Linked DNA regions of Rattus norvegicus. The protein of the gene in region 1 purifies or fractionates together with the protein of each later gene. This does not show direct contact. Links are inferred from orthologs where the notes say so. Each region holds a gene or a part of one and is shown in the gene's direction. Other genes may lie near its edges. The genes, in order: Gna13, Arhgef11 and Arhgef1.

Region 1 (10,680 bases):
CATTGGAGAAAACAGAAACATTGTCTTTTTAGCGCTAACCCCTGCTAAGCGAGTAACGTATGGGGTTTACATCCCAGGTAAATATTGCCACCAGCTCTGCTCTTCTCTCTCTCTCTCTCTTTTCCTCCATCAGCCACCTGGAACATTTTACAAACCAGAGCCTGAGCTCGAAGTAGGGAACATTTCACTAGAATCAGTCTAACAGCTGGAGAACTTCAAGATGGCAGCCAGCCTGGATGGGGCTGGAAAAACAGACAGACCAACCCACAAACAAAACGGCAGAACACTACAGTCCCTTAAAGCTAAATACAGTTTGCTTCTTGTCTCAGACTTGAGCTTTACCCATCCAGGGATTCTGAGCCTTGGGCTTAGTTGGGAGTACCAGAGAGAACACTGTGATAGCGGTCAAAGAAGGATCTATGCACAGTGGCTCATGCCTGAAATCCCAGTGTCTGGGAATAAAGAGTTCAAGGTCAGAGGCTAAGTGCTGTGCAAGCATGAGGATCTGAGTGTGAATTGCCAGCACCCAGGATAAAAAATAGGTTGTGGCCTCATGGACCTGTAACCCCTTGGCTGGGGGCGATGGTTTGAGTTTTGTTGGCTGCTAGTCTAACTCCAGGCTCAGTGAAGAGACCTGTGATAAGGAACCAAGGGAATAAGGTGGGGTGCTATGAAACAAGACACCCAAAGCTCCCCTTTGGCTTTGACCTGCACAAGCACAGTTGTGCAGCACACAGGGTGGGGGGGGGGCAGCCTGGGCTGCAAACCATGACAGCCTGTCTCAATAAAACCATACATGCATATACATATGAGGTGCTTTTGAGAGGCTTCGGCAGTCTAAAGCACTTGCTGCTCTTGTACCTAGCACCCGCATCGCATGCCGGTTCCAAACCACTTATAACTTCAGTTCCAGAGGATCCGATGACTTCTGACCTCCTCAGGCACCATGCATGCCTGTGCCGCACATATACGCATGCAAGCAAAAACCACTCCTACACACATAAATCAATTTAAAATGTTTCAACCAATTAACGAGAACCAACAACCACACAAAGCTCGAGATCGGCTTGGGCTACAAGGCACTCTGTCTCACGCCCTCCCTCTCCCCCTCCAATCAAAATAGTGTGTGCTTCCAGTCCTGGCAGGCTCTGCAGCTGGCCACAGTAAGCGAAACTTTAAGGGAGTCGTTTAAGCTTTTCCTCCTGGCAGCTTTTTGCGGTGGCCAAAGAGCAGGAGGCTAGGGCCTAGTGTTCCTAGTCGGGCTATTGTGAGGAGTGAATGAGATAAAGTAGGTCAGAGTGCTTGCAGGCATTTTAAACATTACACACTGCAAGGCCTGTATTATGGGGGGGGGGGGGGAGGGGGGGAGTGTGCTCAGGAATCCCCTGCTCCCTTCCCTTCCTGGAAGAGAAAGGGACACACGAGAGTATTCATGCCTACTTTATCTGTAAGGAAGGATTAGAATCCATCTATTTCACGCGGTGAGAGTTTCGCAAGTCCAACGCTGCATGTGTCATTGTCCCCCATTAGAAAGTTAACTCAAGATTTAACTGCCAACTGATGTGACTGACTTTTAAATAAACACGTCAAAATGGGTGTTGGCCCATCCTGACCAGTAAGTAGTCACCTTGGTAAGCCAAGCCTTTATTTGAATTATATTTGCCATCGTTCAAAAGAAAGACCTTTTTATTTTTTCTTTCTTAGCTCCTCTTTGGAACTGTTGCTGGAGCGTCTGACACATTCTTTTGAATATGTCTGAGGGTGACACATTTTTGTCCTTTGTGGATAATCCTGATTTTTTTTTTTTTTTGTAAACAGGCCAAAGTTACTTGGCACAGAGATTGGTAAATAAGCTAAGTAATATCATTTTTCAAAAATTAAACATAAACAGTGACTTCAAGACAGAAGTCTTTCAGCTTCTGAAGGACTGTGGACCGATTTGGAAGGAGATAGCAAACAAGGAAGGGCTCCTTTCGTCTTGCCACTAAACTTTGACCTTCCAGAAAAAACAGTGCAACTGCTCAAGTGTCCCTATCATTGTAACCCAGCTTGGGGTTGGGGCAGGGCCAAACCACTCTTTTGCATACGGATTGACTGACTAGTCTAGATATCCACCTTTCCTAAGAATGAACATTTGGATCTGTTAGAAACAGGCTCCAGCAGGCTCAATTCTAACAGGTAGGCTCTGCCATCCCTTAGAAGTTAGAGTTTTATTTTTTCCCTCTAAGAAAAACACGGTGACTGAGAATATCACCAATGCATGACACCGTAAGGGGAGACAGCCACTTCTTCTGTAAATCACTTGCTCCGTGTTAGTTTGACACAGTGGCACTGCCATTCAGGACAGGTTGCACAGTGTAACATCCCTATTCATTAGATGCTACATAGTGGCCCTTTCTTTCATTAATGTTACAGACTGGCGCTTCCATAAAGTTAGCGTCAGCTGATGCCAAGTATCATTTATGTAACAAAGCTCTTTCTTAATTCACTTTTTTCCTTCTGTAGTGAGACTCGCCTTACATATGAATGGCTTGGCCATTTTCACCTATGCAGCTCAGCTCTTGGTACAGTCACAGTGGTCTGTCACAATCACCACTCTCTGGTTTCCAGACACTTTCCTCGCCCTCAAAGGAAACAGCCCATTAAGCTCTCCCCATTCCTCCCTGCTTCTCAAGCCCTCACGACTACTAGGCTTTCCATTTCTGCAGGTTTACCTAGTCTGGAAATTTCACAGAAACCAAACCATACCATAGGCGCCTCCCACGCTGAGGGTGATATTCTCGAAGTTGATTCTTGTAACGTGTATCAGCGTATGTTTGGTAAATGTTCACGTCTGTAGAGGCACACGCGTGTACCTGCGAGCATGCATTCATTATTCGTTGAGACAGGATCTCACTTGAACCCAGAGCTTGCTGCTTTAGCTAACCTCGCTAGTCAGTGTGCTCTGGACCTCCTGTCTCTGTCTTCTAAGCCACTATGCTACCTGGCATTATTGTGGGCTCCGGGAGATCAGACTACAGCCCTCATGTCTAAACATCAGGCACTTTAAACACTGAGTCACCTCCTCAGTCCCTTCTAGCAGCACTTTTACCCTTTTTCTGACTGGGAGACCTGTTGCTTGGATGAATCTCATTTTGTTTAGCCATTCATTTGCCAATGGGCATTTGGGTCTTTTTAAGTCCCGCCCCCCTTTAAATTTTATTCATTTATTTTGTCGTTGTTGTTCTTAACAGCGCTGCCAGGACCATGGGTGTCCAAGTTTTTGCCTGAGCAGCATTCTCGGTTTTCTGAGGGTATACACTTAGGTGTGGACCTGCCGGGTCACGTGGTAGTTCTGTGTTTAGCTTTTGAAGAACCACTAAACTGACTTTTTCATGCTTATGATTTGCAAAGTGTCTTGATCACTGGTTTACACGCAGCAACCAAAGCCGGGTCCCGGCTTTAAACGTTTCTTTTCAGAAACCCTGATTAGAGCAGCCAGGCTCAACTCCAGTCAAATTTGTTCCGAGGCGAGGTTCCACTCAGGGCTTTGAACAGCCTCCCTGCTGTACTACAAGTCCCGACAAGAACTGGCCAGGCAGGAATCCCTTCCTGCCTCCTAGGCATGCTTGCTTTCCCATTATGTTGTGCACACCTCAGGAAAACGAAGATGCTTAATCTAACGTATGCATTTCCCTCCTCTGTTTCTGCTAAAGAATTCAGATTAGAACACGGAGGTCACCCCGAAGGGCTTCGCACCTACCTGTCCTGGGTAGCCTTTCCATGGACCCTGAACAGGGAGGGCATCTCTAACAGTGGTCAAGGTTATATAGTGACCATCCATCCATAGCAGACTTTGGAATCAGGCCTGACCTTAGCAATCCACAGATTCTGAAAGTGAGCACAGCCTATTTTGCAGCCGGTCTAGTCTGTGGGCTTAGATCCACTCACAGTCTCTGTGGGTGTAACAGGAGACAATTCCACTACAGGTATTGTTTACTGCAGCCAGTGTAGTGAGTCATGAGCTTCTCAGTCACTGGCCCAAACTGACAGTAACTGACTGACTGATTTACAGCACTGGTTTTTAAAATTTAAACTTGCGCATATCACGGTGTTGACCTCTTACCCCAGCTCCCTAACACACAGGAAGTTCCCAAGTTGCGCACAAGCCAGGACCCAGGAGCAAAACCAGACAGGCATCAAACCGCCTTTCCCCTTTGAAACTGACAAAGAATGAAGAAGTTGGCTTCTGAGGTCTTTGCTACACAGTCACTCAGATGTCACTTGTCACGTGTTCCCTGGGAGTCTTTTCAGGTGTTAGGCCTGATCTGCTGGTGTGACAGAAAAAAAAATTTTTCTTGTCTGTCATATCCTCTGAAGTCTGGCAGGAAACCTAAAATGTGCCTGCCGCAGTCCTAGGCTGAACGCTTATCTGCTTCCTTGGGAAGAATGAGCATCGCATCATAGTGTCCGGTTTAGGGGGATTTTCAACATGACCTCACCCTCTCCACCATTCACTGACCTCAGCAGGCATTACCCAAGTCACAAATGCAGCCCGGCTGGGAATCCACATTAGTGAGCCAGCCAGGGCAGGTTATCAATAGTGCCCTGAGCTGCTAGGAAGAGGTGTTGATCAATAAGGACATCCGACATCTACTTATCCTTCGGGATGGTTAGGATGGCAGGGGTAGGGTGAGGGCCGTGGGGGGGGGAGGCGGTGACCGCTGCTAATTAAGTGCACGAGCTTGAAATAAAGCCCTGGCCGGCCTGTAATACCAGAAGTAGACAGGGAGGCTGAGATAAGACAATTGTCACAGATTTAAGCCAGCTACAGCCGCAGGGAACTTGTCTCAAGAATTTAAAAAAAAAAAAAAAAAAAGGCAAAATGTAACGAATGCCCTGGTCCGTGCAGGGATGTCCCAGCCAATGGTCGCGTGAAGGTGACAGTAAGCGGCGGGCGAGGAACTATGGGAAAGAGCAGTGGAAACTGTAGAGATAAGGATGCCTTAACGGAAAGGGGTCTGGATGGGCTTTGCTTACTCGCCTCGGGGCTCCGGGAAACGGTGGCACTAAAGGGAAACAGAAACTCTGGATCCGCAGGCGCGCGCGCGCCCAGGTTGGCCCACGTGACCCCGGACTCCGCAGTTCTCCGCGCGCGCTCCTGGCCTCAGCCAGGCCAGCGAGCGCGTGACTCGCGCCGCCCCCCCCAGCCCCCGCTGCGTGCCTGCGTGCGCGCACCCGGCAGGCGGCGGGCGCGCGCACGCCCAGAGGGCCGCCGCCCCTCCCCGGGCCCGCCCTCCTTCCCTCCCACCCTCCCCCGGCCGGCGCGTCCCGCCCTGGCGAGTCAGTCCTCGGGTTCCCTCCCTCCCCGGGCGCGCTCGGGCCGCCGCTGCGCTCCCCGCCCTCCAGCCGCCTTGCCGGAGCCACCCGCTGCCGGAGGAGGAGGTGGAGGAGCCGCAGGGGCCCGCCGAGGCGGCGGCGGCGGCAAGATGGCGGACTTCCTGCCGTCGCGCTCCGTGCTGTCCGTGTGCTTCCCGGGCTGCGTGCTGACGAACGGCGAGGCCGAGCAGCAGCGCAAGTCCAAGGAGATCGACAAATGCCTGTCGCGGGAGAAGACCTACGTGAAGCGGCTGGTGAAGATCCTGCTGCTGGGCGCGGGCGAGAGCGGCAAGTCCACCTTCCTGAAGCAGATGCGGATCATCCACGGCCAGGACTTCGACCAGCGCGCGCGCGAGGAGTTCCGCCCCACCATCTACAGCAACGTGATCAAAGGTGCGGGGCGCGGCGGGGCTTGGGGACCCCAGGGGAGCCGGGCTGGGCACCGCCCTCACCCGCCGGTCCCAAGTCTGAGGAGACCGAACCAGACCAGATCGGACGGGCAATCCTGTGGGCGCGCCTCGGTCACCGTCCTGTGCGCTGCGGTGCCCGAGTCCCTTCGATCCGGGACGCCCTGCTGTCCCCCCGCCCCCTCCCCGTGCTACCCCAGTGAGGGTCACGGTCGGCCCCGCACTCCGCGGCTGGCCTCGCCCCCTCCGAGAGGGAAGTGCGGCGAGCAGAGTGACTCGGGGCAGCGGGGCAACTTGTGTCCTCCCTGAACTCCAGGCACGACCACCCATCAGTAGCTTTAGGTTCTATTCTTCTTCCCTTATTTGCCCGTCCAGAGTGGGTGACTCTAGTAACCCGGTCTGTCACCCTTACAGCTCTGGGCGTCCTAGGCCACCTCTTGACTTAAGCAAGTTCTGGAACGGTCGTAATGAGGAAACTTTTTTTTGCCCTGAGACTCTTGTCAAGGGCATAGAGTGACAGCCTCTAGAGCCTTTTGAGGTAAGAGTATGAAACTCGCGTTTACTGAACTGGCATCAGGAAAGTCTATTAAAAAAAATAGCGCCAGTGGTTTTATCGGCTCATTGCTACAGGATGTTTGTAATTACAGCCCAACATGTTGCACACTTTTTTTTCTTTTTGCTTAATAACTTGAGGCAGGAGAAAAACGGCATCGTTACCAATGCTTAAACGAATTCATGTTTAAATATAAAGACCCTTTGGCATAAAAGTCTTAGAAGACCATCCAAGACAAGTTAGTGAGAGGCGGGGAATATGCATTGAGTTGGATGATGGGCTTTACAAATCCTGTTGAACAGTGTTTTAAAGACTGTTCCTAAGTGAAAACCACACAAAGTATTCCTTAGTGTTCAGATAAGTCGCGGAGGTGGCTTTTTATTTTGTCATTTAAAAGAATCGCCCTTTTTTCCCCTTTAGTGTCAAATATTTTCTGTGTAAGAGAAGTTGGCAGGATTGGGGCACAGCAGCCGATTTCTGAGGGGTCGAGGAGTCACCCTATTAAATCTTGGGCTCAGAAGCAAACTGTAAGATTGTAGGTCTTTTCAGGGAGTTGTTTCAAAGCCAGTTTTTTGTTGTTGTTCAAGAAGTGCATAAGCAAACTCCCTCATGGGTCCCTTCCTCCCCCCATCAGTGTTTCAAGTAGGGAAGAACTAAAGAGGATTCGCTGCTGGGCAGTGAGAGGAGAGGGCAGGGCGAGGCCAAGAGCAGACCATGGCTTGCTCTTACTTAAGACCTTGTACCTTTGCTGTTAAGTGAAAAGGATGGTTGTGGGTAGTCTGCCTTAATGCTCAGCACAAAACTAATTAAAGTCTCCTCTAAGGCTGTAAACTGCACCTTGCCAGCCCTTAATTGAAGGTACCTTTGTATCCTGATACAGTTGAACTTAAAAGAATTATGTTAATGAACAGACTTGTGAGTGAGGGAAATCACCTGCTTTTCCTTATACACTGGGCCTAAGAGCTACTTTGAGCATTATTGTGTGATCAAGTCTAAGTCTAACTAGGCATCTTATTTTCTTCAATCGCCGTGGTCAGAAAAGTGAAAGCTTAATTTTTTTTCTTCGAGTATCCTAAGAAATGACTTCCCGGTGACAGAAGTAGCAGTGTAGCCACAGGGTCGTGGAGTTCGGGCTAACCTGTGTAAGTGCAGTCTCGGATTATTTTGCAGTTGGTTTTCCTTTTGGGTAACTCTACAGCCAGTGTGTGACTGCACTGATTAGAAGCTTGGACTGAGGAAGCTTTGAGGTTCAGTGTGTCCTAGAAGATAGTGTGGGCAGGGAGCTGAAGGACTACGACTGCACACCGTAAACCGTTCTTAGCGTGTGCCAGGCTGACTTTAGCCTGGCTTCAGGCTAGACAACATTATTTATTTTTTCCGTCTCTGGTTTTGACTGCCCTCCTCCAGAAATGGTTTTTATGAATCGCAGCATATTAAAATCCTTCCCAAAGTGTTCTTGTTATTAATATTTTCAAGGCTTCTGGTTTTGAGAAACAATGAACACTTACTTGTTTCTTAACTCTGAGAACATAAAGGTTTTGTTTTGATTTTGGTCTCCATTTTGGAAGTGGGGCTTCTGTGATAGCTAAAAATTAAGGAACCAATACTGACCAACCCTGGGGCCAAAGCCTCTGGTGGTATCTTCATGACTCTTCCTCACAGTTTTTTTTTTTTTTTCTTTTTAAACAAAGGTATGAGGGTGCTGGTAGATGCCCGAGAGAAGCTTCATATTCCCTGGGGAGATAACAAAAACCAGGTCCACGGAGACAAGTTGATGGCATTTGATACCCGAGCTCCCATGGCTGCCCAGGGGATGGTGGAGACTCGAGTTTTTTTGCAGTATCTTCCTGCTATAAGAGCCTTATGGGATGACAGTGGCATACAGAATGCCTACGATCGGCGCCGGGAATTCCAACTGGTAAGACATTCGCTTGTCTAAAATGTGTTTTTATTTATCTATTTTTATTTTTCGAGGTTTTATTTATGTGTGTGTGTGGGTACATGTATGCCCCAGAACATGTGTAGGCGCCAGAGGACAACTTGTGGGAGATGGTTCTCTCCTAGGGTATGGGTTCTGGGCATTAAACTCAGGTCCTCAGGCTTGGGGGCAAGTGTTTTACCTGCTGAGCCACCCTAACCCTGAGGTGCTTCTGTTTAATGACATTTAGCAATGTCAGGTTTAGCACACTGTTATAGACTTCCACAGTGTAATGTATCAATTCAAAACTGTAGCCTCAGAAACTCGGTTTGCTGTGTGTGCCTTTTACTAAGCAAGGTTAAAAATGAGGTCAACTCTGTAGGTGTAGTAAAGCTGTTTTACTGGTTAGAAAGTAAGGTTGGAATGACTTTCCCCGGTATTCTAATTTTGTTCTCTTTAAAAAGTTATTTTTCTTACAACTGTGACTTCCATGCTCTTCTCCAGCGATGGCTTTTTAGAATAGAAGTTTGGTTGGTGAATGTGGTGGTTTACGTGTTCCAGTCAGCCTTTGAACCACTTACCCAGTGACACAGATGAGTTTGCTATAGAGAGATTAGAGTCTTTTTCTTTTCTTGCTATGTAGACCAGGCTAGCCTTAAACTTACAGTAACCCTCCTTTCTCTGCCTCCTAAGTGCTGAGATTATAGACATGAGTCCCACTGTGGCTAGCTGAGAGACTGAACTCTTTCTTTATAAGAAACAAAGTACTATTTTCATGGGAAATAATTTCCATTTGTTTTCCCTCCTTTATCTTAAAAAAGACTATAAGATACTTTGTAGCTGTTATACACCATTGAAGAAAGAGTAGGAAAGCCCGATATAACCCAGGGCTAAAGAGAGATACATGGACTGGGTTAGGTGGTGGTTCATGCCTGTAATCTTAGCTCCTTGGAAACCAGAGGCAGAAGGATCACAAGTTCCAGGCCAGCCTGGGTGACACAGCAAGGCCCCGACTTAAAAAACAAAGATACAAAAAAGAATTGAGATGGAATTTTTAATCAAATGGTTTATAATCTAATTGTGAGCGCTTTGATTGTATTTGGTTCTATTTGCCGAAAACCAGAAAGGGTCCATCAGAGTAGCAATGTGGTCAGTGTGCAGTTTAGCAATAGTTCAGGTCCTAAGCACTTTCCTGTAATGTAATTACAGTAGAGTGACAGTTAAAGCAAAACTGCTTAGGAAATTGTTTGATGATGTCATGAACACTCAAGAGATCCTCATGGGTGTGACTAGACAGAGATGTACAGCCACCAGACTTCCTTAGTGCCGTCAGTATTCAGGAACAGTCTATGCTTTCTAGAACAATTACAAGGAAGGTTTATGGTATCTTTTTGGCTAAACCCATGTCTTGTGCTCCTTACTGTTTAATGTAGTATGTCTGGCTAGTATAGTTCATCGTGGATATACATCATGTTAAATCTCATTGAGTGCTGGCAGCATTGTATATCAAGAAGTATGAGTTTAACTTGATCAGTGACATGGAGTCACCAGATTTCTGGCTAGCTTTGACCTTTGGTCCCTGTCGTCACTGTATTCTGGAGTCTGGGCTTGCTCCCCACATATCCCCTTTCCTTGCTTTCTTCTCCACCCTCCTGTTTGAGGGTAGCTTCTTGGCCTCCTTAGTTTCTTTTCTCGGTAGACTCCCTTTCCAGTGTTTTCTCAGATGTTTATCTTCCAAAGGCCAGGGAGAAAACAGCTTGTCCCACAGTAAGCAGTCAGTACACCCTCCATGAATAAAGGAACAACAGTGGACCTGACAGTTCCCTGTGGGAAAGAAACTTGTGTTTGTCCCAAGCCTACCTAATTGAAGTTGGGGTGTCACGGACAGATTGTGAATCTGTGCTTTCACATCTGAGTCTCATATTAAGGTCTGTGTCCTTGTTGAGAAAGGTTTGTGTGTGTGTTTTATTTACGAATAAACAAACCTACTCAGAAGGCCTGTGTCTTCTTGACTCGGGCCAGCTAATGTTTCAGTAGAAGAATGCTATCAGCACCAGGGAGAGGCAGGCTCCAGAAATACCTTTCCACCCCGGATAAAAAAGTAGAGGGACAGACAAGAAAATAAAGTTGGCATCTACTTGTAAAGCAGATTGAGGATTGTCCTACCCTGAGAGTGTTTCAGCACTGTCAGCAGTGCCTGGCCTTGGTGGGTACTTGACTATTGTGTTTTTTGAATGGGTAATGGTGTTTGGCACTGAGAGAGCACCTTGCTTGAAGTCACTGTCAGCACCTTTCCCTCGTAGAGCAGAGGCCCACGTGCTGTCTTCTCTTCCGTAAAGTTTGGGAGTTCATTCACGTCTTTTTGTGGTGTTCTTTGTTGCTCTAACACTTCAGAAGTGGTCTCCCTGAGACAGCATGGGATTACTCAGAGAGCGCACTTCTGC
Region 2 (10,636 bases), on another chromosome or scaffold:
ATTGACACCAGCATGGTCTTCAGTGATTAACATGAGCCATGTACATCAATACAGATCCAACCCAGCTGCACCAAGACCATGGACCCAGGCATGGCAACTGGCGGCTGCAGCAAGACCATGGACATCTGTGTGACCTTCACTGGTAACATGGGCTGGGCCATGGACATCAACATTGGCCTTGTCAGCAGCTTGGACTGAGATATGGCCCTTGGAGGTAGCACTGACCTGGATGTCTTCCTGGCCTCGGGTGGTAGTGCAGGCCACCACCAGCAGTACAGTCCCAGCTGCAGCTCAGATCACAGACATCAACATGGCCTCAGGCTGCAGCCCAGACCTCGGACTTCCGCACAGCATCCAGCAGTAACTGTGGAGAGTAACAGATCTAGCCATGGCCCTGGGCAACAGCAGGCACCTAGACATTACCACGGCCTCAGGGGGCAGCACAGGTCACTCATAACAGTATGGCTCCCTGTGGCAGCAGGACCCATAGACATCAATGCAGTCCGTCTAGCAACTTTCTCCTTCATCTGAAAGTTTCTAAATGTGCCCTGGAAGAGAGTCACCTCTCCAGCACTCACAGAGCTCAAGTTTCAGAAAATCAAACTGTAGCTCTTATTAGGTTGGCTGAATTACGGGGAAAAAAATTAATTCTTAGCTTTAGAAGGTATCAGTGATTAAAGTAAGGGCATTAACTGGTAAAGAATGGGATCCTTGGGTTGGAGAGATGGCTCAGTGGTTAAGAGCACTGACTGCTGCTCTTCCAGAGGTCCTGAGTTCCCAGCAACCACATGGTGGCTCACAACCATCTGTAATGAGATCTGATGCCCTCTTCTGGTGTGTCTAAGGACAGCTATAGTGTACTTATATATCATACATAAATAAATCTTTAAAAAAAGGGGGGGGGGGATCCTGTAACTTGGAATGGAGACGTATGGGAGGACCAAATTGAAGCTGAGAACTTAGAACTCTCAGATTCTTGAGGGTTTATCTTACCTGAGGAAGTAGTCTCCACCCTCAGCAGAAGATTTACTCTCACCCCAAACCCTGAAATACTGCTTTTCCTGCCTTTGACTGAGGAAATCAATTCTTCATTATCTGCAGAGTTTGCCAGAGGAGGTATATGCTTTGAATATATATCTAAATACCTTTGAATATATATCTAATATATGGTTTGGTTTCTCCCATAGCTAGGATCTACAGGTCCAGGAGTCAAGGGTTAGAAAAGGGAATAGTGTCACTCACTATTACACCTTACTAACCCTTTAGGATTTTTGCTTCCTGTTCCCATGACTTTAATTTCTGCTGGCCTAAAAGTTTTGATTCCAGAGGAAAGAGTGTTCCTTCCAGGAGCCACAACAAGCATTATTGAACTGGAAGTTCAGACCTCCCCACTTAACATTTTGGGCTTCTGGTACCATTAAGCCAACATGCTAAGAAAGGAATAACAGTGTTAGCAGGGGTGGTTGATCCAGATTACCAAGGGAAAATTGGATTGCTTCTCTGCAATAGAGATAAGAAAGATTATGTCTGCATTGCAGGAGTTCCTTAGGAGACCCTTTGGTGCTACCATGTCTGGTGATTAAAGTCAATGGGAAACTACAACAACCTAATCCAGGCAGGATGACAAAGACCACAGACCCTTCAGGAATGAAGGTATGGGTCTCTCCTCCCAGAAAAAAGCCAAGACCTACTTAGGTGCTTGCGAGAGTGGAGAAAATACAGAATGGGCAGTAGAGGAAGGTAGTTATAGACACCAGATAAGATCACATGACCAGATGCAGAAACAAGGATTATAATTGACATAAATATTTCTCTCATGTTTTGTGAAGCATGTGTTTGTACATATATTTGTGTTTTCTTTCCTCAATTTCTTTTTTTTTTCTCTTTTCTTTTTTTTGGAGCTGGGGACCGAACCCAGGGCCTTGTGCTTGCTAGGCAAGCGCTCTACCACTGAGCTAACTCCCCAACCCCCTTTCCTCAATTTCTTTATCACGTGATGTAATATCAATGAAGAGAGTATCTGTGTTTATAATATTTAACTTTGAGATACTTAAAGAGATAATACCATGTACTCTAAAATTTATAATATGCTTCTGATTATATGAGGAATAGTTATATCACATTGGGGTAATTACGGTTTAAATACATAATGCATTTGTAATTAATCATATGAGGGATAGTTTTTATCATGTTATATGTAGTTATGACCTAGTTATTGTTTTCATTTAGAAATTAAGCATGACTTAAGGAGATATGATTGTGTGTCAAGTTGACAAGGAGTGAAAGTGTGATGGCTGTTCTTGGTTGTCAACCTGACTACATCTGGAATTAACTAAAACCCAAGTAGCCTGGTATATCTGTGAGGGATATTCTCCTCCTCCTCCTTCTCCTCCTTCTCCTCCTCCTCCTTCTCCTCTTCTTCCTCCTCTTCTTCTTCCTCCTTCTCTTCTTCTTCCTCCTTCTCCTCCTCCTTCTCCTCCTCTTCCTTCTCTTTCTTCTTTGTTTTTTGTTTTTGCTTTATGTTGTTTTGTGGTTTTGAGACAGGACTTCTCTGTGTAGTTCTGGCTGTCCTAGTACTAGTTTTGTAGACCTGGCCTCAAACTAGCAGAGATCCACCTGCCTCTGACTCCCGAGTGCTAAGGTTAAAGAAGCAAGCTACCATGCCCAGCCTGAGAGATTTTTTTTTCTTAATAAAGTCATTTGAAATGGGAAGACCCACTTTTTTTTTTTTTGTTTTTTGTTCCCCCCCCCCACCCGGAGCTGGGGACCGAACCCAGGGCCTTGGGCTTCCTAGGTAAGCACTCTGGGAAGACCCACTTTTAATCTGGATCTTTGGAAGTGGGAAGATGCACCTTTAATCTGGGCCACACCTGTATAAAGCACGTGTGTTCTCTCTCTCTCTCTCCCTGCTCTCACTCTTGCTGGTAAATGCACTTCAGGAATCTGTTGTATAGTGAAGACCAACCGAGACATCCAGCCTTATGGACTGAATGGCTACTGGATTCTTATCTTGGCCCTTCCTTCCATTGGTAGACAGCTATTGTTGGACCACAGTCTGTAAGCCATTCTAATAAGTCCCACATATGACTGCTCAGAGATTGAGGGCATCCTGAGATGCTTTGTGAAAATGCTATCTCAAAACAAAGAAACAAGCACCTGGAGATAAAACTCAGTTGGTTAAAAAAAAAGAAAAGAAAGTAAACAAAAACCACCACCAGCACCACCAACAACAAAAAACCATGCCTTGCAAGTACAAGAACCTGCATTCAACCCTATTGTGTGACAGACATTTCCTGAGAAGATGTAACCAAGTATCTACCCACTTCAGAAAGGGACCAAGAGCACAGCACAGTATGGACACCACCACAGTCCAACTTGGTGAACCCATGAGGCTTATTAGGGTGGCTTACAGAAATGTGGGTAGGGACTTTCTTATAGGAACAGAAATGACTTAGAGACAGTGGTATCACCAAAGCACATCCACAAAAGCTGGAAACCTGGAGCACACCACAGACTCTACAGCAGCTAACAGGTGTGTCCTTTCTAGGTAGATGGCTCAGTCTTCTGTGCCTCTTCCAGGCTGCTTAGTTGGTCTTAAAGTTAGATTGTCTGAGAATGATGCTAAATAGTTCTTATCGATTATATATATTTGGAGAGGGAGGTGTCTAGTGAATCTAGTCAGTTTCAGGAACTTTCTAAAGCCATATTTTAGTTTTTACTTCCTGTCTTAAGGAGCTTCTCCGCAGGATAGAATGTTTTACCTCTCCTTTGAACATCTTGCCTAAAATATATATATATATATATATATATATATATATATATATATATATTTCACCTCCCTTTTCATATCCTATGTCTTAAAGGATTTTCTCCAAATTGAGTGGCAACTGCTACACAACAAACCCCTAGATCACACAAAAGGGGCTGAGTTTTGGTTGCTGTGAACTTGTATTCACAATGCTGAGAAGGGTTAAAGGATGGCACTTACTCACCAGCCATTCTTGGCCTACTCAGCAAGCTGAGGCTGTTGAGAGACCAGACTCCAAGGAAGGGGTGAGGTTGTTTGGCACCTGAGGAAGAATGCCACCCACAGTTGTCCTCTGGTTTCCACAAGCACACCTGTGGAAGAGCACAACAGTTATTAAGATTCAGAAGGTAAGCACTCAGAAACTTCAAGAAGTTTCAGAAATAACCAAGAGTCACAATGCTCCTCCCCAGGGTTACAGAAGCAATATCAAGTCCAACAGCTCCGGTGGTGGAGGTCAGTAGTCCACTGTCCTCACCCATGCTGGGATGGGTTTTTGCTGGTGCAGCTGCCTTTAGGGGCTCATGTTTCTAGAAGCAACCCCAATAAATCCACTAACTCTCAAGAACAGGCTTCAGTAAAACTGTTGGTGCCCTATCTGATGTGAACAGATGTGTCTCACCAGAAAGTCACATATTACACACACACACACACACACACACACACACACACACACACACACTATAGCAAAGTGCATTCATCAACCTGTACTGGAAAAGAAGTAGGGAAATCTGATTTTAGTAGGTCCTAAATAGTTGCTTAATCAGTTTATTTTCCCTCTTGCTAACACAGGTAGGCCAAGACCAGGGCAGGCAGAAAGAGAATACTTGGAAACGCACCAGTGCCTGCATAGCTTACCCAAGCAAAACTACAATTCCTCCTCTGTCTCCTTTTTTACTTCAATCTTTACTTCTGACTACCGATAGTTACAGGAAGAGATTTGGAAACCGTGATTTCACAAAGGGGGTGTGTGTCATCAAAACAACATTGCCCTGGAAAAGATTTTGCATAGAAATTAAAAGGCAGAGCCATACAAGATACCCAAGCTAATTCGAGCACAGCCGCGAGGGCAGAGTCAGTGGGTGCTCAGAGGGGCCGAGGCACAGCTAGGAGGGTTCCTGGTAACTTGGAAAGGAGCGCGACAAATGAGTGAAAAGGGGCAGAGGAGGACATCGAGGCGCGGCCCGCGGACACTGCAGAAACAAAGGTCGAGCCTCTGGGACAGAAGCACCGGGAGCAGCTAGGCCGCAGCGCGCGGGTCGGGGGCGCGCGGGGCTGTGAAAGGGCGGGCGGCACCAAGGAGGAGCCAGCGGCCAGCCCCGGCGAGCGGAGTCGGCCGGGGCGGGGCGGGGCGGGGCGAGGCGGGCGGGCGGCCGCGGGCTTGGCCCGAGCGAGCGCGCGCGGGGGGGCGGGGCCGGAAGCGCAGCGGCCGCGACGCGGACGCCGGGAGCGGCCGAGCGGGGAGGCTGTGGCGGGCGGGCGGGCACGGAGGCCGAGGCCGCGGCCCGGGCTCTCCGCGCCGCTGTGGAGGGCGCCCTGGCCCTAGCCGAGCCGCAACAATAGTAGGAGCGGGTCGCCGGGCAGGATCGGCGGGCGAGGAGAAACGGGACCTCCGCTCCAGGGCGCTGCGACGAGAGAGACTTTCCGAGCCTGGACGTGCAGGAGCACACAGAGCTGACTGAGGAATTTGTCTGAGAAAAAGGCCGATCTGAGGCTGTGGCTGAGCACGGGACTGGACTAGGTGGAGGAACCTGCAGGTCGAAAAGGAAAAGAAGGTTTAAGATTTCCTGGGGTTTGGCCAATGCTACCGTTTTGAAGGTAGAAAGCATTGCGCTTCAGGTGTTTTGTGATTTTTGTGTGTCTCTCTGTGTCTGCACAATTGGCTGTTTCAGAATTCAAAACCTTTACTGTAGAAGATTGTTGTTTTGTTTTGATTTTTAAGAATTCCACAAATTTTGCTTCCCGGGGCTGCACTGGACTTTGTGTTGTGTGCATACTGCTGTATGGTTTTATTTATTTTAACTGTGCAAATCATCTGGAAGATTTTTTTCCCCCAAGTGCCATTTCGGATTTGTTCAGCCTTTTTGTTTTGTTTTGTTTTTCCTTCCCTGGAATAATTCTACTGTTGGCATTTTAAGCATTTGAAAATCAGAGATATTTCAACCTTTGGAGCTTAAAGCTTCCCTGTCAACAGAAGGACAGCTGGGAAAACTGGATTGAAAGGATGGTTTTTATCTGTCTGCAGCAAAGACTGATATTTTGAAGTCAGATTCTTTCTGTGGTTCGTTTTTTTAGCCCGTAGGGCTAACCTTGAAGAGATTTGTGGTTAACATTTTGGTTTCTAAGAAGGTCATAGTTTTTCCTTTTTTTTTTTTTTTTTACTTTCCATTTTCTTCTTTCTTTTTTAAGACAAGGGGAGGGGAGGGTAAAGGGTTACGGAAGGAGACCATGTTAACTGATAGAAGCAGACTAGCACCGCAGTTCCCAAGGTCCTGACAGCTGGAGGAAACAAGGGTTCAGTCTTCAACTTGGGAGGCCTTCCTCTCACCTTCCTTGAAAATTGCAAGGGACTCAGGCCTGATCAAGACGCCCAAAGAAACGACAGGATTCCAGAACTGTGGAAACACGGAGAAACCATGAGCATACGATTGCCCCATAGTATAGACAGGTATGTTTAAATAATTTGGGATTTTTCCAACACTTATTAAAAAGACTGGGAGGGAGGTGTTGTGTTTGATTGGCTGGGCTGTGGGATAGGTTGTGGTCTATGAGGACTGTCAGTATATATGTTTATGCGCCCTCCGTGTGTGTCCATGTTCAAAATATATCCCATAATTCTGTGTCATTTATAACCAGTAAGCAATCAAGATGGAGAGGAGGGGGTAATGCGTGCAGTGGCTTTTGCCCTACACCAGGCATAAGGCTGACTCTTGAGTCCCCAACTTGCTAGCCTAGGGATTCCAAGGCTGGACCAAGCCTGATTATGTGAACCCACAGGGGTGAGTGGAGACTAGCTTGAGATATCTGGGGAGGGAAGGGAGATGGCGGACAGGGTTGTGAGCCCATCAGGCTGATTGTTAAGGAATGGTGGGCACGGTGGTAGGGTGGTTCCCAATTAAAATGAGGAAGATGTTCTGGCCTGAAATGTTGGGACAGAAACACCCTGCCAGTGTCACCAGTATCACGAGTGGTTGAAAATGTCTAGCCACATTAGAATTTCTTCAGGTTTAGAGTTTAAATTGAGACCTTCCAACAGGCTGATGCTCTAGGTTTAATTTTCCAAGCTGTTCTTAATAAGCTTGACTCTGCAAAACAGGCCTTTCCCTCTGCTTGAAGCCGGAAGGAGTTGTTCTGCCTCTTAGGCCCTTGAAATCAGCTGGAAGCCCATGATGCCCCTCCCCTGTGAGCCTGATCTGCCTTCCCTCTTACTGGTAGCATTGCAGTGTGGTTGTTCTCTCCTCCAAAGGATTGGTGGTACAACTTTGGTCAGTATCTGCCTTGCTGTTTCTTCCCCTTCCCCTCTTCAACCCTTCCTCTTTAAAAATCGTCCACCAGGGTGTGTTTTGTGGATATTCTATCCTAACTGGATAGCTAGGTAAGGTGGTTGGAAACTAACAGTCAAATGGAAAACTAGTGTTTGCGAGGTAGGAAGGAATATCTCTGTAAGTCAGCAGTTGCTCTCTCTGGGTCGGTTAACCTCTCGCTATTCATGCTAATAGTAATTTCCTTTTGACTGTGGAGTGCAGCCTAAAACATAATGTCTCCCAAACACCACCTCTGTGTTGTCTCAGGGTCCCAGTTAGATCTGTTTAGTAGTCTGTGTGTGGGAGAACTGGCCTACAGTTGGGAAGAGCAGGCAGGCAACCACAGAGGCAGTGTGGCCAGCTGCCATCTCCCTTCCCGTTTCCATTGTGGTCTCTTGTAATTTGCCCCTGGGAAAGGATAACTGAAGCTGTCAGAGTAAGGAGGTGAAGGGTTTGCAAGTCCACCCTTCTCCCTCCCCTTAGACCTGGGGGATTAGTATACTCAAATTAAGATTTGGGGCGGTGAAGACTTTCTGTCAATTCAGGGGTGTGAGCAGATGGAAACCGGGTATTGAGGGGTGTGAGGAGGAGGCAGTGAGGGCTTCTGGGTTAGCATGAGGTGTTCATCTAGGAGCTTGCATGACTTCACAGATACAGAGTCCCAGGTGCTCTCATTAGGACACTCCTTGTTTGACCTTCTTGATGCATCTGTGAGGTAGACAAGTCACTGCTCACATTTTGCAGATGAGGAGACTGAGTGGATTCCTGGTTTGTCCAGTATTCTAAGGAGTGTCAGGATCTAGTCTAAAATCTGAGTCTTCTGATTCTGAATCCCTGACCCTTTTTGTTGCCTATCCTGTCTGCAGAGGTTTATAGACTTACCGTTTAGAATGGGTACGGCACCATTTTGCTCTCTCTGGCAGTTGGGTGAGGCAGTTGTCAAGTGTTCCCCTGTACTTTGTACCTGTAATCTCTGGAGTTAAAGCACTGTGTTATTCCCTGGGAAAGTCTTCCTTGCTTTACCCTGCCTGACTCTGCCCCAGTGAGCGGGTCAGTCCTGGAACTGAGGTCCCCTTCTGGCTTTTCTTGCTGGCTTCCCTGATCTTGCAATAGAATCAAAGTACACTGCTGAACTTGATGTCGCAGTCGCCGTGCCTTATGAATGTAAATAATTCACTTTTTTTGTCACCTCCTGCTGGCTTCCCAACTTGCCGTGTATCTGGGACTCACAATCTTGCTTCCTCCCCTGGCATGATAATTTCGTCTGATGCCATGCTGGAGTAACAGATTAGAAGGAAATGTTTCAAATTATGGTGTCAGGAATCCTATTCTCTTAGTTTGCCAATGTATTGTATACGATGGTAGAAGTGTTAGAAAAGAACTCGTCTCTTTCTGCGAGCACGAGATCTAAGTGGGAAGTAGGCGCTGTGGTGCATGCTTGTAGCCCCAGTACTTGGGAGCTGAAGCAGGAAGGATTACAAGTTTGAAACCTGAGTTACACCCTGTCTAAACAGTACAGCACCCCAAAAGGCCACAGAAGTGGCACAGTTGGTTCTGAAAACAGGGGCTGTTGGTTTGCTTGTTTTTGTCCTTTCTGCTAAGTTTAGTGCCTGGTGCATAGTCAGTGCTCCATAAATACTTGTGATTTGTGCTGGGGCGAGTGAACATACCAAAAAGTGTGAATTCAACTGCAAGTTGTTCCAGTGACTTGGCCATATAGTTAATCCAGGGTAAACTTTAGCAAACGGTTCTTTGGTGTTACAGGATGGAGGATCATGTATCTAGAGACTGAGTGTGGCTTAAATAAAGACTGGGCTACCTACTTGGCAGTTCTTTACCTCAGTTTTCTCCTGTTGGGTAATGGAAGTCATTACCTGGTCTATGGAAGTCATGGAGTGTTTTTAGATGACTTCTCTCTTCATGATCACCAGTCATTAGTGAAAGACGAGATACAATGTGGCTACCCCTGCCCTCAAAGTTTTTCTTCATAATATCTTTTTGGCCCTTCATCTTAATTTCAATGTTTTCTGAAAATGTGTTTGGTATTGTAAATAGAGATTATGCCTCAGGGTAAATATTCTTGGGGCTGGGTAGGGTGTGAATTTGTATCTACAGAATGGCTTTTCTCTGCACAATGGTAGCTCATGTAAAGACCAAACCAGAAAAAATACAGTTCTGCCAAGAATTCTTGGTCTTCTCCTTTCCCTCCCATGTAGAGCAGCAGTGCCACAGGAGTTTTAAGCTCCTGTTCACACGATTCTGGTTTTGCTATTTGAAATTTGCTTATTATATCTCCTTCCAGGGCTGTTGAAAGGCACAAACCAGATGAGAGAAGACATTTCAAATTGCTTTTTAAGTTGTGAAACTACATTCTACGTAGTAAACTCATGGATTTGATTTAGCTTTGTGCACTACTTCATGAATTGAATAATATAAAGCAAGTTAAAGCTGGTGTGGTGGAGCACACCTTTAGTCTCAGCACTGGGAAAGGAAAGACAGATGGATCTCTGGAAGTTCAAAGCCAACATGGTGTACAAATCAAGTCTGTGGCCAGCCAGGGCTACGGACTGAGACCTGTCTCAAAACAACAATAATCATCTTAAAAGTTAAGGAGTATCAGAAAGTTCTGTTATTTTGAGAAATTAGGAATGAATATTTTGTTGTTGTTGTTGTTGTTGTTGCAGAAGTATACAAGGTGAGGAAAACAGAAAACAATGCTGGGTTGGGAGTATAGCCTAGTTGGTAGAATGCTTGCTGGAGTGCAGGAAGAACTAAGTTCAGTCACCAGCACTTTATTCCTATAATCCTAGCACTGCAGAAATAAAGACAGGAGGATCGGAAATCTAAGTCCCTTCTTGGCTTCATAGGGAGTTTAGGCCAGCCTGAGCTACAGACTCTGTCTCAAAAAGAAAAAAAGCAATACTCATAGGAGGGTGTGGTGGCCCATCCTCTAATCCCAGCACTTGGGAAACAACTGAGGAAGATCACTGTGCGTGTGCGTGTGTGTGTCTGTGTGTGTGTCTGTCTGTGCTTGTGTGTGTGTCTGTGTGTGCCTGTGTGTGCTTCTGTGTGTGTGTGTGTCTGTGTGAGTGTCTGTGTCTGTCTGTCTGTCTCTCTGTGATTGTATGCACACATATATGTGGAGTCCAGAGGTTAATATGAGGAATCTTTTTCTTTTTTTTTTTTTTTTTTTTTTTTTGGTTCTTTTTTTTTTGGAGCTGGGGACCGAACCCAGGGCCTTGCGCTTCCTAGGCAAGCGCTCTACCACTGAGCTAAATCCCCAACCCCATGAGACATCTTTTTCAAT
Region 3 (10,341 bases), on another chromosome or scaffold:
CCCAGGCAGAACTCCGTCCCAGGGCCTAGGTCGACACTGGTTTCTTTGTCTTGTTTGTTTTGTTTTTGGAGACAGGGTTTCTCTATGCCACCCTGGCTGTCCTAGAACTCACTGTTAGACCAGGCAGGCCTCAAACCCACAGCAATCTGCCTGACTCACTCTCTGCAGTGCTGGGATTAGGGGCATGTACCACTACTGCCTGGCAGGTTGCCTCACTTAAATTACAGAGATGAGAAATGACCCAGGCACAAAACCAAACTAAACAACCAAGCCAAGGACAGATTCGGGGAGGTAGGACAGAATTGGGCTCTAGTACCTTTTCCAATAGGCTGGGTACTGCTGAGCCTGGGTCTAAGGTGTGCCCCATCTCCACCCCCTTCCCCATGGAGGTTCCTAAGGGTTATGAAGAATGAGGACCAACGGGATGGTCTTCAGAGAGAGTCCCTGGGCTGGTTGGGGGAACAACAAAATGCAAAGGGGAAATGGAAGAAAGAGGCCATAGGGCGTGTCCCCCGGTGTCTGTTCTTATTCTAGATACCATTGCCACCAGTGAGACTCCACTCCTGAGAGAGCTGGCATGAAGGGGGCTGGAGCAATCTTCTCCATCTCCAGGCTCTGACCCATCTGTCTCCTCTCATCTCTCCACAGGTCCTGGATGCCAGGCCCTGATGTTAGAAAGGGATCCACCATCCCTGACGGTGAACTTGGGTGAGGAGGCCGTCCTCACCTGTAAGAACGACGGCAAGAACCCTAATATCACATGGTGGTTCAGTCTCCAGTCCAACAGCACATGGCCCCCAATGCCACTGGGTCCTGGCCTGGGTCCCATGGGCAAGCTGATCTTCCCCGAAGTTAACAAGAGCCACAGGGGCTTGTACTGGTGCCAAGTGATAGAGAGCAAAGAAGTAAAGCGTTCCTGTGGCACTTACCTCCGAGTGCGCAGTGAGTAGGGAGGGGCACTGACCCTGGAGTTCTGTTCTCCGGCTCATCCAGAACACTGGAAGCAGAGAGCCAGCTCCTCCCTCCTGGACCTGCAACCTGTAACCCTGGCAGGTCACCTGCCAGATGGTGGCTTCAGGGTTCCCTGACCTCGCAAGGAGCAGGGCTGGGAGAGGAAGGGATACCAGAACACTAAGCAGCACCCTGTCTTCACAGAGCAAGTCCCGAGGCCCTTCCTGGACATGGGGGAAGGCACCAAGAACCGCATCATCACGGCAGAAGGGATCATCTTGCTGTTCTGTGCAGTGGTGCCAGGGACGCTGCTGCTCTTCAGGGTGAGTCTCTCCACGGCGACACCCTCAAATTATCTTGGCTTGCCTGGACTGTGACTCCCAGTGTCCAGCTGGTCCTCTGAATCCTGAGGTTCCTCCTTCAAAGTTTGGGAGGCTGGGAGTAACCCCCAAAAGGATTTCCAGTGGCACTGAGCTCTAGTGGGGTCAGCCTGTCCCCACGGCCCTCACAGATACCCTCTCACTCTCCTGCTGACCCACCAAAGGGAGTCCCCTGCAAATGCAGCCAAGACCAGGGAAGGAGGTGTGTCCTCCCAGAGCCCCTGCTTCTCCTTAGGCTACAAGACGTTGTTTTTTTTTTTTTTTTTTTAAATGGGGTTTCACTATGAATCCCTGGCTGGCCTCGAACTCACAGGGATCCACCTGCCTCTGCCTCCTGAGTGCTGGAATGAAAGGTGTGCACCACCATTGTCCTGCACCTTATTTATGGTTTGTTGTTGTGTACGTGGGCACTCGAGTGTGGAATCGGAGAACAACTTTCAGGGGTTGATTCTTTCCTTCCACTGTGGGATTCCCCACATCAAATTCATGTCCTCAGGTTTCCATGGCAATATCCTTACCAGCTTGAGCTATCTCCTGGACTTTCTTTGCTTTCACTTTTTTTTTTTTCTTTTCTTTTTTCCGGAGCTGGGGACCGAACCCAGGGCCTTGTGCTTGCTAGGCAAGCGCTCTACCACTGAGCTAATTCCCCAACCCCTCACTTTTTTTTTTTTAAAACCTAGACATTAGTCTAGGCTAGCCTCAAACTTGCTGTATCTCCATGGCTGGTCTGATTTGTCTTTATCTTCTAAGCACCGAAATTACAGGCATGCATCACAACCAGTTTTATTTTTGTTTTTGTTTTGACATTTTTGTTTGTTTTGTTTTTGTGGGTAGGGTAAGACAGCATCTTGCTATGTAGTTCAGGCTGGGATGTAGCTCACTATATAGATCTGGAATTCGCAATCCTCCTGCCCTGTCTCAGTTTACCAAGCACTGGAATTACAGATGTTCAGCACCACTCCCAGCTCACTGTTACACTTCTTGAGGAACAGTAGAGGGCCAGCATGGTGGCACACAGCTTTGATCCTAGGAACACTTAGGAGGCAGAGGCAGGCAGATCTGTCGGGAGTTCAAGGCCAGCCTGGTCCACATAGTGAGTTCCCAAGTAGCTCTTACTACATAGAGATCTAACACTGTTGGTGGAGTGGAGTGGCAAGCACATGCAGGCACGAGGCAGGAGACCGAGGCCCATAAGAAGAAAGAGAGGGGAAGAGGGGTGGAGATAGAATCTGCCAAGATCCCAATATGTGGCCTCGGGGGTGTCCCTTGCTCTTTCTGATAAAGCACTTGCTAGTAGAAGACGGTCTAAAAGCCCTTCGCCTCCCTCCTCGCTAAATGCCGCTTCTGCCTCATCCCCTTCCGTAGAAGCGGTGGCAAAATGAGAAGTTTGGAGTGGACATGCCAGATGACTACGAAGATGAAAATCTCTATGAGGTAAGTATGCCTGGGATGCAGCAGGCAGCCTTGCATGGCGGGTGGTGTCTGCACTGGGTCCCACCCTGGAGTTGACTGGGAGGGAGCAAGGGCCGCAGCTGCCAGGGTACTGATGTCTCTGTCCCCTGCAGGGCCTGAATCTTGATGACTGCTCTATGTATGAGGACATCTCCAGGGGACTCCAGGGCACCTACCAGGACGTGGGCAGCCTCCACATTGGAGATGTCCAGCTGGAAAAACCATGACTGACATCCCCCCACCCTCCCCACTCCCCATCCTGCTGTGCTGTCTGCCCCTGCCTGCCCTATGCCCAACTCCAGAATCCCTGCCCCTGCTGCTCTTCCGCTGTGCTTGTCCCTCTGAAGTGTCCCACCCTTGCCTCCAGGCTGCCCCACCCTATTCTTGTCCTTCCCCCTGGGGTTCCCTCCCTAGTGGGTAATGAGCCCTTAATCGCTGCCTCTAGGGGAGCTGATTACAGCAGGCTCGTTAGTGTCACCCCCCTCCTCCCAGATCTGTCATGGCCACTTAAGTGATAATAAATCCTTCCCAAAGCAGCCCTTGGCAGGAGTCATGGATCTCATGTGGACTGCTCCTCAATGCTGCCAGGGAACCAGGAGCAGAAAACACAAGTCCCCTCCTCCCTCAGACCCAGGTTTCTGGACCTAAGTTCTCACCAGACCACTTCTGAGATCTGGGACCAGACAGTCTTGGCTGTCTGTCCTCACCAACCCCACAACCCCCAAAATAACAGGAAGTCTCTTGGGGAAGTCCCCACCCCAATTGAAATGCTGGTTTATCTCCTTTATAGGGCCTCACCCTCCTCACGTCCCTAAGCAAGGGGGAACCAGCCCGGGCCTTACCAAATTTTTACCCATATTTAAGCTCTGAGAACACAAGGTATTATTTCCAGGAGTGGGACCTAATTCCCTCATGGGTTCACTTGCCTAGGCAGATTTGGAGAGTTTCTGTCAAGAACCTGGGGATGATGGAGACATCTAGAGTAGTCATTGGGATGGGAAGAGCAGACTCAGAAAGGTTGTTAAAGGACAGGAGGCAAAGAGGAGACTCAGGGAATCCCCAGAGACCTGGATGCAGAAATAGAAGCCAAAGGAAGAAACAGACACAAAGTGGCTGGCCTGGGCCCCGGGGGATAACAACAGTTGGGGAAAGGACAAAGCCTGAAATCTCAGAGAAGAGACAGCCAGCAGCAAGAAAAGGCCCAAAGTGATCAAACGGCACTGGGGAGCTGCATCAGGGTGAAGCAGCAGAGGCCAGAGAGCAATGAGTGCTGAACGGGCCCCTGACATTGTGGACCTACAGTCGGAAGCCCATCTAGCTTTGAAAAAGAGACCAGGGTGGTGGCGCACAGCTTTAACTTTAATCTCTGCAATCCCAAGGCAGAGGCATCTCTGAGTTCGAGGTCAGCCCACTCTACACAACGAGTTCGAGGCCAGCTAGGGTTACAAAGTGAGCCCTTGTCTCAAACTGAGAGAAAGAGAGAGGAAGGGTCAGGGCAGGAGCTGGGCAGCAGCAGGACGGGCGGCAGAGGCGGACAAAGGCGAAGGGGAGCCGGGCGGGGCCGTGTGGGGCCGCGCCCGCGGTGAAAGGAGGAGCCGTGCGGGTGGCGAGAAGGGGAAGGAAGCCGAGGTGCCGGGCGGGCACGGGGCGCGGGCAGGAAGCGGGGAGGGGCGGCGGGCGGGGGCTCCGGAAAAACGCCCCGACTTCCTGCCCGCTGGAGCCAGGAAGCCGGAGTCGGGACGCTGGGCCGGGATCGCCGAGCCCGACCTCGGGCGCCCCGCCGGTCACCTCCCCGCGCGGACACCAGGTACACCGTCCCTGGCCCCGCCCGGCCTCCTCCCCACTCCGCCGCTGGGGGAGGAGCAGGGAGGGGACCCGGCGCCCAGGGCCTCCCGGGGGGGCGCCCAGTCGCCTGCAGTCGTCTTTCTCTGCCCTCGGTTTTCTCATCTGTCAAAGAGAGCAAAGAGAAAACCCGGCGCGGTGACGCACGCCTGTCATCCCAGAAGTTGGGAAGCAGAGACAGGTGGATTGCCATGAGTTCGAGGTCAGCTTGCGCGACCTAGCGTGACCCCCGCCTCAAAAGGAAAAACAAAATAGAGAGAGAAGGAACGAGCGAGAGAGTGCATAGTAGGTAGAGATGAACTAGGCTGGGATCCAGGCTCCCAACTGTTCAGTGCAGAACGATAACACCTATTTATCAGCAGGGAAACTGAGGCCCAGGGAGTCGGACTGCCTTGTTGCAGGGACATACACTCTTAAGTAAGATAGCAGCTGGGACTTGAACTCGAAGCTGTTTCCTGTAAAGCGCTGTCCCCGCAGTCATGGATGTTTGATTAGAGCTCCCTAAAATAAACAAGTATCTCTGCAGAGCATTTTGAAGCTGAGAGTAACAGAGCGTTGAAAACGTCTCAGAAAGCTTTTTGATTTTTACCCTCCTCTGTGTTATTAATTATACTCTGGGAGATGGCTGTAGGGGAGAGAACCGGAAACATATCCGCATTGAACAGATGGGACGACTGAGGCCTAAAGGGAAGTCATTGCATTTTGCAGGTTGGTCTGTCAGGAGGAAATATATGCCCAAGCGCATGGGTGTTTTATGTTTTGGTTTGCTTTTTTTGTGTCTCTGTGGGGTTTTTGGATTTTTGGTGTTTTTTTTTTTCTTTCCAATTACAGCGGGAGGAGTTGACAGTGGTGACAGGGAGTCGGTACACAAGCATTTGGAGTTTAATAGGTCCGAGTTGGGGAGGTAGACAAGGTGGAACTTAGGACCTGAGCGACTTGAAGTTTCTCGGAGCTGGAGCCCTAAACCGGCGCTGGAACCATCCTCCACTCCTGCGAAGGGGGCGGGGCCCGGGAGAGTGACAGGGGCAGTCGAAATACGGAAGCGAGGGTCCTCCAAGACAGACCAGAGCGGCCCTATTGGGCCAGCGTGGCGCCGTGTAGCGCTAGACCAGCCTGCAGGAGGAGTGGAGTTGCCGAGGCCGGAGAGTGTAGAGGGCGGGCTAGAGCGGCCGGAGGGAGGAGTGGAGCTGGACGCAAAGGCGGCCTCTGGCTCGGCTAGAGCGACTCTGCGGCGCGGGTGGGGGAACCTGGAGCTCGAGCGCGGTTCCTGAGGCTGCAGTGGCTTGCTTCTCTTCCCATCCGACAGGTGAGATAGGCAGCCTTGGCTGCCGTGAAACCTGACCCCACACGTCTTCCCTGCCACCTACACTGCCACAGTTGCAGAATTATTGAGGGCCCGTGTAGATCAGCCACGTCCCATGTAAGATTTAGGGCTCATGAAGAGCCGCCACGTTACACAGGTCAATAAGATCTTACATACCTTCCAGGTTTCAGGAAGCCTTTCACGGAAACCCGGCTTTTAACATAAACATAGGCTTCTCATAGACCAAGGCAGGGCCCTACAGAACGCACCACACACCACTCTCGAGGTCCCATAAACCATTAGTTTTCCCTTTAGAATCACCATCTTTCTGGATTCTTGAGGCCCACTATGTATCAAATAGAATGTGGGGTTGTATACATTCCAGGGCCCTCTTGTAGTTTTTTTTTTCAAGGCTCCTAGAGGTTCTTGGACACCTGAATAATCCTTTCCAAAGGCTTGTTGAACGTGAGCCCTTAGAACGAACCCAGGTACCTTTATGTGCTTCCTTCTACAGGACCCCCCATTGCATAAACCTAAACCTGCCCTGACTTCCCCCATCCACCCCACCTCCAGAGCCTCAAGTGCAAAATGCTCCCTCTGCCGGACACTGGTAGACTTTGTCAGTGGCTTCATTTTGCCAACTTTACCTATATCTAATTTTCAAATTCTCTTTGAGCCCAGGCTTCTGGAGCTGCTGAGTCCATCCTGGTTGACTGCTGAGGTCACGGCAGCCACATGACTTTTCCAGGCACCATCAGACATGATGTGTCTCAGACCCTAATAGATGGACATTTTAGTGTCCTAAGGCCAAAATGTCGGGGGGGGGGGGTTGGGGGGAGGGAGGTGCCTCAAAGCAATGTTAATATGCTGAATGTTCAAACTGTGGAACCAGACTGTCTGAACCTGAATCCTGGCTCTGACTCTTATAAGCCATGCCTCAATTTCCCCCTCTGTAAAAGAACAAACCAAAATAATGCTGGCTTCATTGGGTCAGTGAGAGGATTAAATTCTTTAACATCTGTAGACAGACCCTGAACCCTGCATAGAACCTAAGCTGGTGTGCCCCATCTATGCTGTGTCTGAGGACACGTGAAGTGTCAGTCATTGTTCCTTATCTTTGTCATGGGGAATACGGGGATAATGCGCGTTAACTGTGCGTGAAAATCAGGGTTTTGGTGAACATTTGTTTAAATTTTGTACCTTCCTTGGGTTCTGTTTTTTTTTGGGGGGGAGGGGGAGGTGAGTGAATAAAGACTTTAACATGAGAGTTAAGGAGGCCATTTTGGATGATGTGTAAGAGCCAGGTATGGTGGCACACACCTTTGATTCCAGCACTGGGGATTAGGAGGCAGGCGGATCTCTTGAGTTCAAGACTGGCCTGCTCTACGTAGTTCCGGGACAGCCTGGGCTACGCAGATAAACCCTGTCTCCTGTCTGAGATGGGGGTAGGGGAGGATAAATGTTAATCTGGTTGCTTTGTTTGGTGATGCTCAGGGTACAACTCAAGGCCTCTTACATGACTGAACACATATCCTGTCATTGAGCTACACCCCCCAAACCCTCCTTGGCTCCTTTAGGGTCTCTCAGGTGAACAATTTTCCTGCTGAGATGAGCATGGGGGCTCTGGGTCTGGGCATGGTTTCTAGCCTAGAAGGTTGTCTGGAAGGGGCGGTCTTTGGAGGCATCAGGTTTTTCAGGAGGATGAGTGTACACGGGTGCTAGTAGTCGGGAGTTGGTGGGACTAGACGCAGTGTTTCCCTCCTATAATACCAGACCTTGAGAGATCAAGACAGGAGGAGGCCAGTCCTCAGAGTGAGATCCTGTCTAGAAGAAAAGCCAAGACTGAGTTGGTATAGCCAGAGCAACTCTCACATACCGTATGGGCTTATCTCTCATGATAACCACTGTTTCTTTGCTGGCTTGGTTTGCACGTTTATTTATTAAACACTCAGCAATGTTCACCCGAGCTTTAATGGTGGACAGATACAGCTGAGAGAGAATACAATGTCTGCTTGGGGGAACCCCCAGCCATGACTTCTGGACACTCCAGAAGGCGTCTTTACTCAGAAATCAGAATCACAGCAATGGCTCATTGAGTGCTAGGGAGGAGGCTGATGGAAGTGGGAGAAGGGCGGGCCTCAGGCAGCCGGAGTTATAAATAGCTTTGGGGTGTGGGGACCCACCGCCCCCTACTGGCCCACCCCACACTCTTTCCACCATTCCTTCCCTCCTGACACTGATCCACACAGCATTAGTCAGACTAATTAGGGTCTGGGAGACGCTCAGAAAAGGGAGAGTAGAGGGAAGACGGGATGAGGAGCCGAGACTCAGTGCGGAGCTGGACAGAACCAACACCGGCAGTGGAAGGACGGCTGTGGGAGATGAGGGAGGAGAGATAGGGAGGCAGAGGAGTGGCCAGCAGAAGTGATGGGTCTGGGAGGAGAGGTGGACCACAGATTCCCGGGACCACAACTGCTTCAGATTGAAAGGGGTGGCACACACCTGAGAGTGGGCTGTTGAGCCCCACCCCCTCCATCATTTTCTGGAACCATAGCTACAAAAGCTGGGAACTGTAGGGAATCACCAGGCTCAAGAGCTCAACCTGTCTGACTGAGAGGGACTCAGTTTTGTTTTCTCATGTAGAGGGAGTTGGAGCTTGGGGGTTCACCATTGACATTTCCTGTCACAGGAAATGGGGCTGGTGGGTTCAGAGGCAACATCCTGGCCCAGGTCTGCCACAGATCAGAATATATAGCCCTCCTCCTGCCCCCCCCCCCCAATACCCTTCCTAACTCCTCCTCCTTAAGGACTGTTCTTTTAACTTTGCTTGTTCTAGAGTCCTTCCCCCTGGAGGACTAGCCAGCCCTCTGGGGCCCTGATCCTTCTTTGTTTAGTGACCCAAATTAGTGGCTTTTACCACAGCCACCCAGCCCACCCATGGACCCATGCTCCTGGGCTCCAGTGCCCGCCCGCCCCCCTCCTTGGTCTCTCCGCCTCAGCTGGGCTGTGAAGAGCTCTTTGTCGCCACACAGAGGCCCCATTGAGTTTAGGAGGCTGGGGGTGGGGGTGTTTACTCACCTTCCGCACCTGGGCCAGGAATCTGTGAGTAACTGCCCAGCCTTAGGCACTTCCTCTCCGCCCCTAACTGCTCTTCCTCTCTGCAGCCCCGTGGAGTCCTGGAGATGGGAGAAGTCGCCGGAGGGGCGGTGAGTGCGGTGCTGGGAGAGGATCTGAGCCAAGGTGAGGGAGCTCTGGTGCTCTGTGAGGTGGAAGCCCTGTGGATTGAAGTCGTGTCTCCCCTTGTAGGCCCCAGGGCCTCCCCGGTCTGGCCTGGTGTCCATCATCATCGGGGCTGAGGATGAGGACTTTGAGAATGAACTGGAGGCGGTGAGCAGGGTGGGGTGGGAAAGTGTCCACCAAGGGCCTAGTTCTCCCTCCTGGGATGTGTCCTCTCCGCTCACACTATCATCTTCCACCCCATACCGAGTGTCACCGTCCACTGTAGACTGCCACCTTTCTCACTCTAACCCCAGCCTATCACTACCCCTCCCCCACTTGACTCATATCCCTTCTCAGTACTCAAGTTCTCCATAACATCCCAGTAACATCAAGTCTCATGCCTTCTTCCCAGCTACTTGCCCTTACTGTCTGGGTTGTAGCATAGGCACATCCACCCCTATTTCCACCACCATTTAGAGGTGCCAGAGACTGGGTAGGGCAAGCCTAGGCTGTCCCTTCTTTCCCCGTGGCACTCAGCTCCCTTGTCCCCACCCAACAGAACCCAGAAGATCAAAACAGCCAGTTCCAGAGCCTGGAGCAAGTGAAGCGTCGCCCAGCCCACCTCATGGCCCTCCTGCAACACGTGGCCCTGCAGTTCGAGCCAGGACCACTGGTGAGACGCATACAGGGGTTGGGGGCAGAGGAGGAATGAGGCTAGGCAACTAAGAAGTCTAGAAAATCCAGAACACAGTGTGAGTTTTAGAAATAGGACCCCAGACAAGGCACAAAAAGCAGGCTTATGCCACAAACAGGCTTGCAGATGCCCGGGTGAGCCTTAGTAAGCAGGGAGCCCAGGCCTCAGTACATACAGCAGAATCTGGCATCCTGACAGATGGCATGTCCTGCCCTTTACCAGCATCTCCAACTGGTAACGTTGTCCCTCACCAAGCTGGCCTTGGCTGGGGACAGCAAGGCCTTCTCAGCAGGTATCATCCGTTAGGTTGGGCAGGTGTCAAGGACTTGGTTCCCTTAGCCATCTCAGACTTAGAGAGCGCCTCAGACCTTGATCCAGAAACCCAGACAAACTCCATGTGGTTGCACTAGAAATGTCTTGAGCCTGGTGTGATAACACACACCTTAGAGGAGGAGGCAGGAGCACAGCCACGCCTTCAGTCAGCTGAGGTACAGGGCAAG

What was found.
Region 2: the proteins of Gna13 (region 1) and Arhgef11 purify together in Homo sapiens (affinity purification with western blotting; 3 studies listed by BioGRID). This does not show direct contact. The link is inferred for Rattus norvegicus from reciprocal best matches to the Homo sapiens genes GNA13 and ARHGEF11.
Region 3: the proteins of Gna13 (region 1) and Arhgef1 purify together in Homo sapiens (affinity purification with western blotting; 5 studies listed by BioGRID and IntAct, with this or other methods). This does not show direct contact. The link is inferred for Rattus norvegicus from reciprocal best matches to the Homo sapiens genes GNA13 and ARHGEF1.

What each region holds. Positions count from the first base shown.
Region 1 is NC_086028.1:94,831,988-94,842,667, forward strand, and holds the start of Gna13 (guanine nucleotide-binding protein subunit alpha-13), read left to right. Parts: upstream 1-5,468; coding exon 5,469-5,751; intron 5,752-8,009; coding exon 8,010-8,236; exon of another isoform or gene 8,237-10,680. UniProt on the Homo sapiens protein: Guanine nucleotide-binding proteins (G proteins) are involved as modulators or transducers in various transmembrane signaling systems.
Region 2 is NC_086020.1:175,367,049-175,377,684, forward strand, and holds the start of Arhgef11 (rho guanine nucleotide exchange factor 11), read left to right. Parts: upstream 1-5,241; 5' UTR 5,242-6,441; coding exon 6,442-6,473; intron 6,474-10,636. UniProt on the Homo sapiens protein: May play a role in the regulation of RhoA GTPase by guanine nucleotide-binding alpha-12 (GNA12) and alpha-13 (GNA13). Acts as guanine nucleotide exchange factor (GEF) for RhoA GTPase and may act as GTPase-activating protein (GAP) for GNA12 and GNA13.
Region 3 is NC_086019.1:89,622,495-89,632,835, forward strand, and holds the start of Arhgef1 (rho guanine nucleotide exchange factor 1), read left to right. Parts: upstream 1-4,495; 5' UTR 4,496-4,590; intron 4,591-4,649; exon of another isoform or gene 4,650-5,931; intron 5,932-9,092; 5' UTR 9,093-9,110; coding exon 9,111-9,134; intron 9,135-9,234; coding exon 9,235-9,315; intron 9,316-9,706; coding exon 9,707-9,820; intron 9,821-10,341. Other genes in the region: Cd79a (B-cell antigen receptor complex-associated protein alpha chain precursor), read left to right, coding at 649-942, 1,156-1,274, 2,697-2,765, 2,897-3,010. UniProt on the Homo sapiens protein: Seems to play a role in the regulation of RhoA GTPase by guanine nucleotide-binding alpha-12 (GNA12) and alpha-13 (GNA13) subunits. Acts as a GTPase-activating protein (GAP) for GNA12 and GNA13, and as guanine nucleotide exchange factor (GEF) for RhoA GTPase.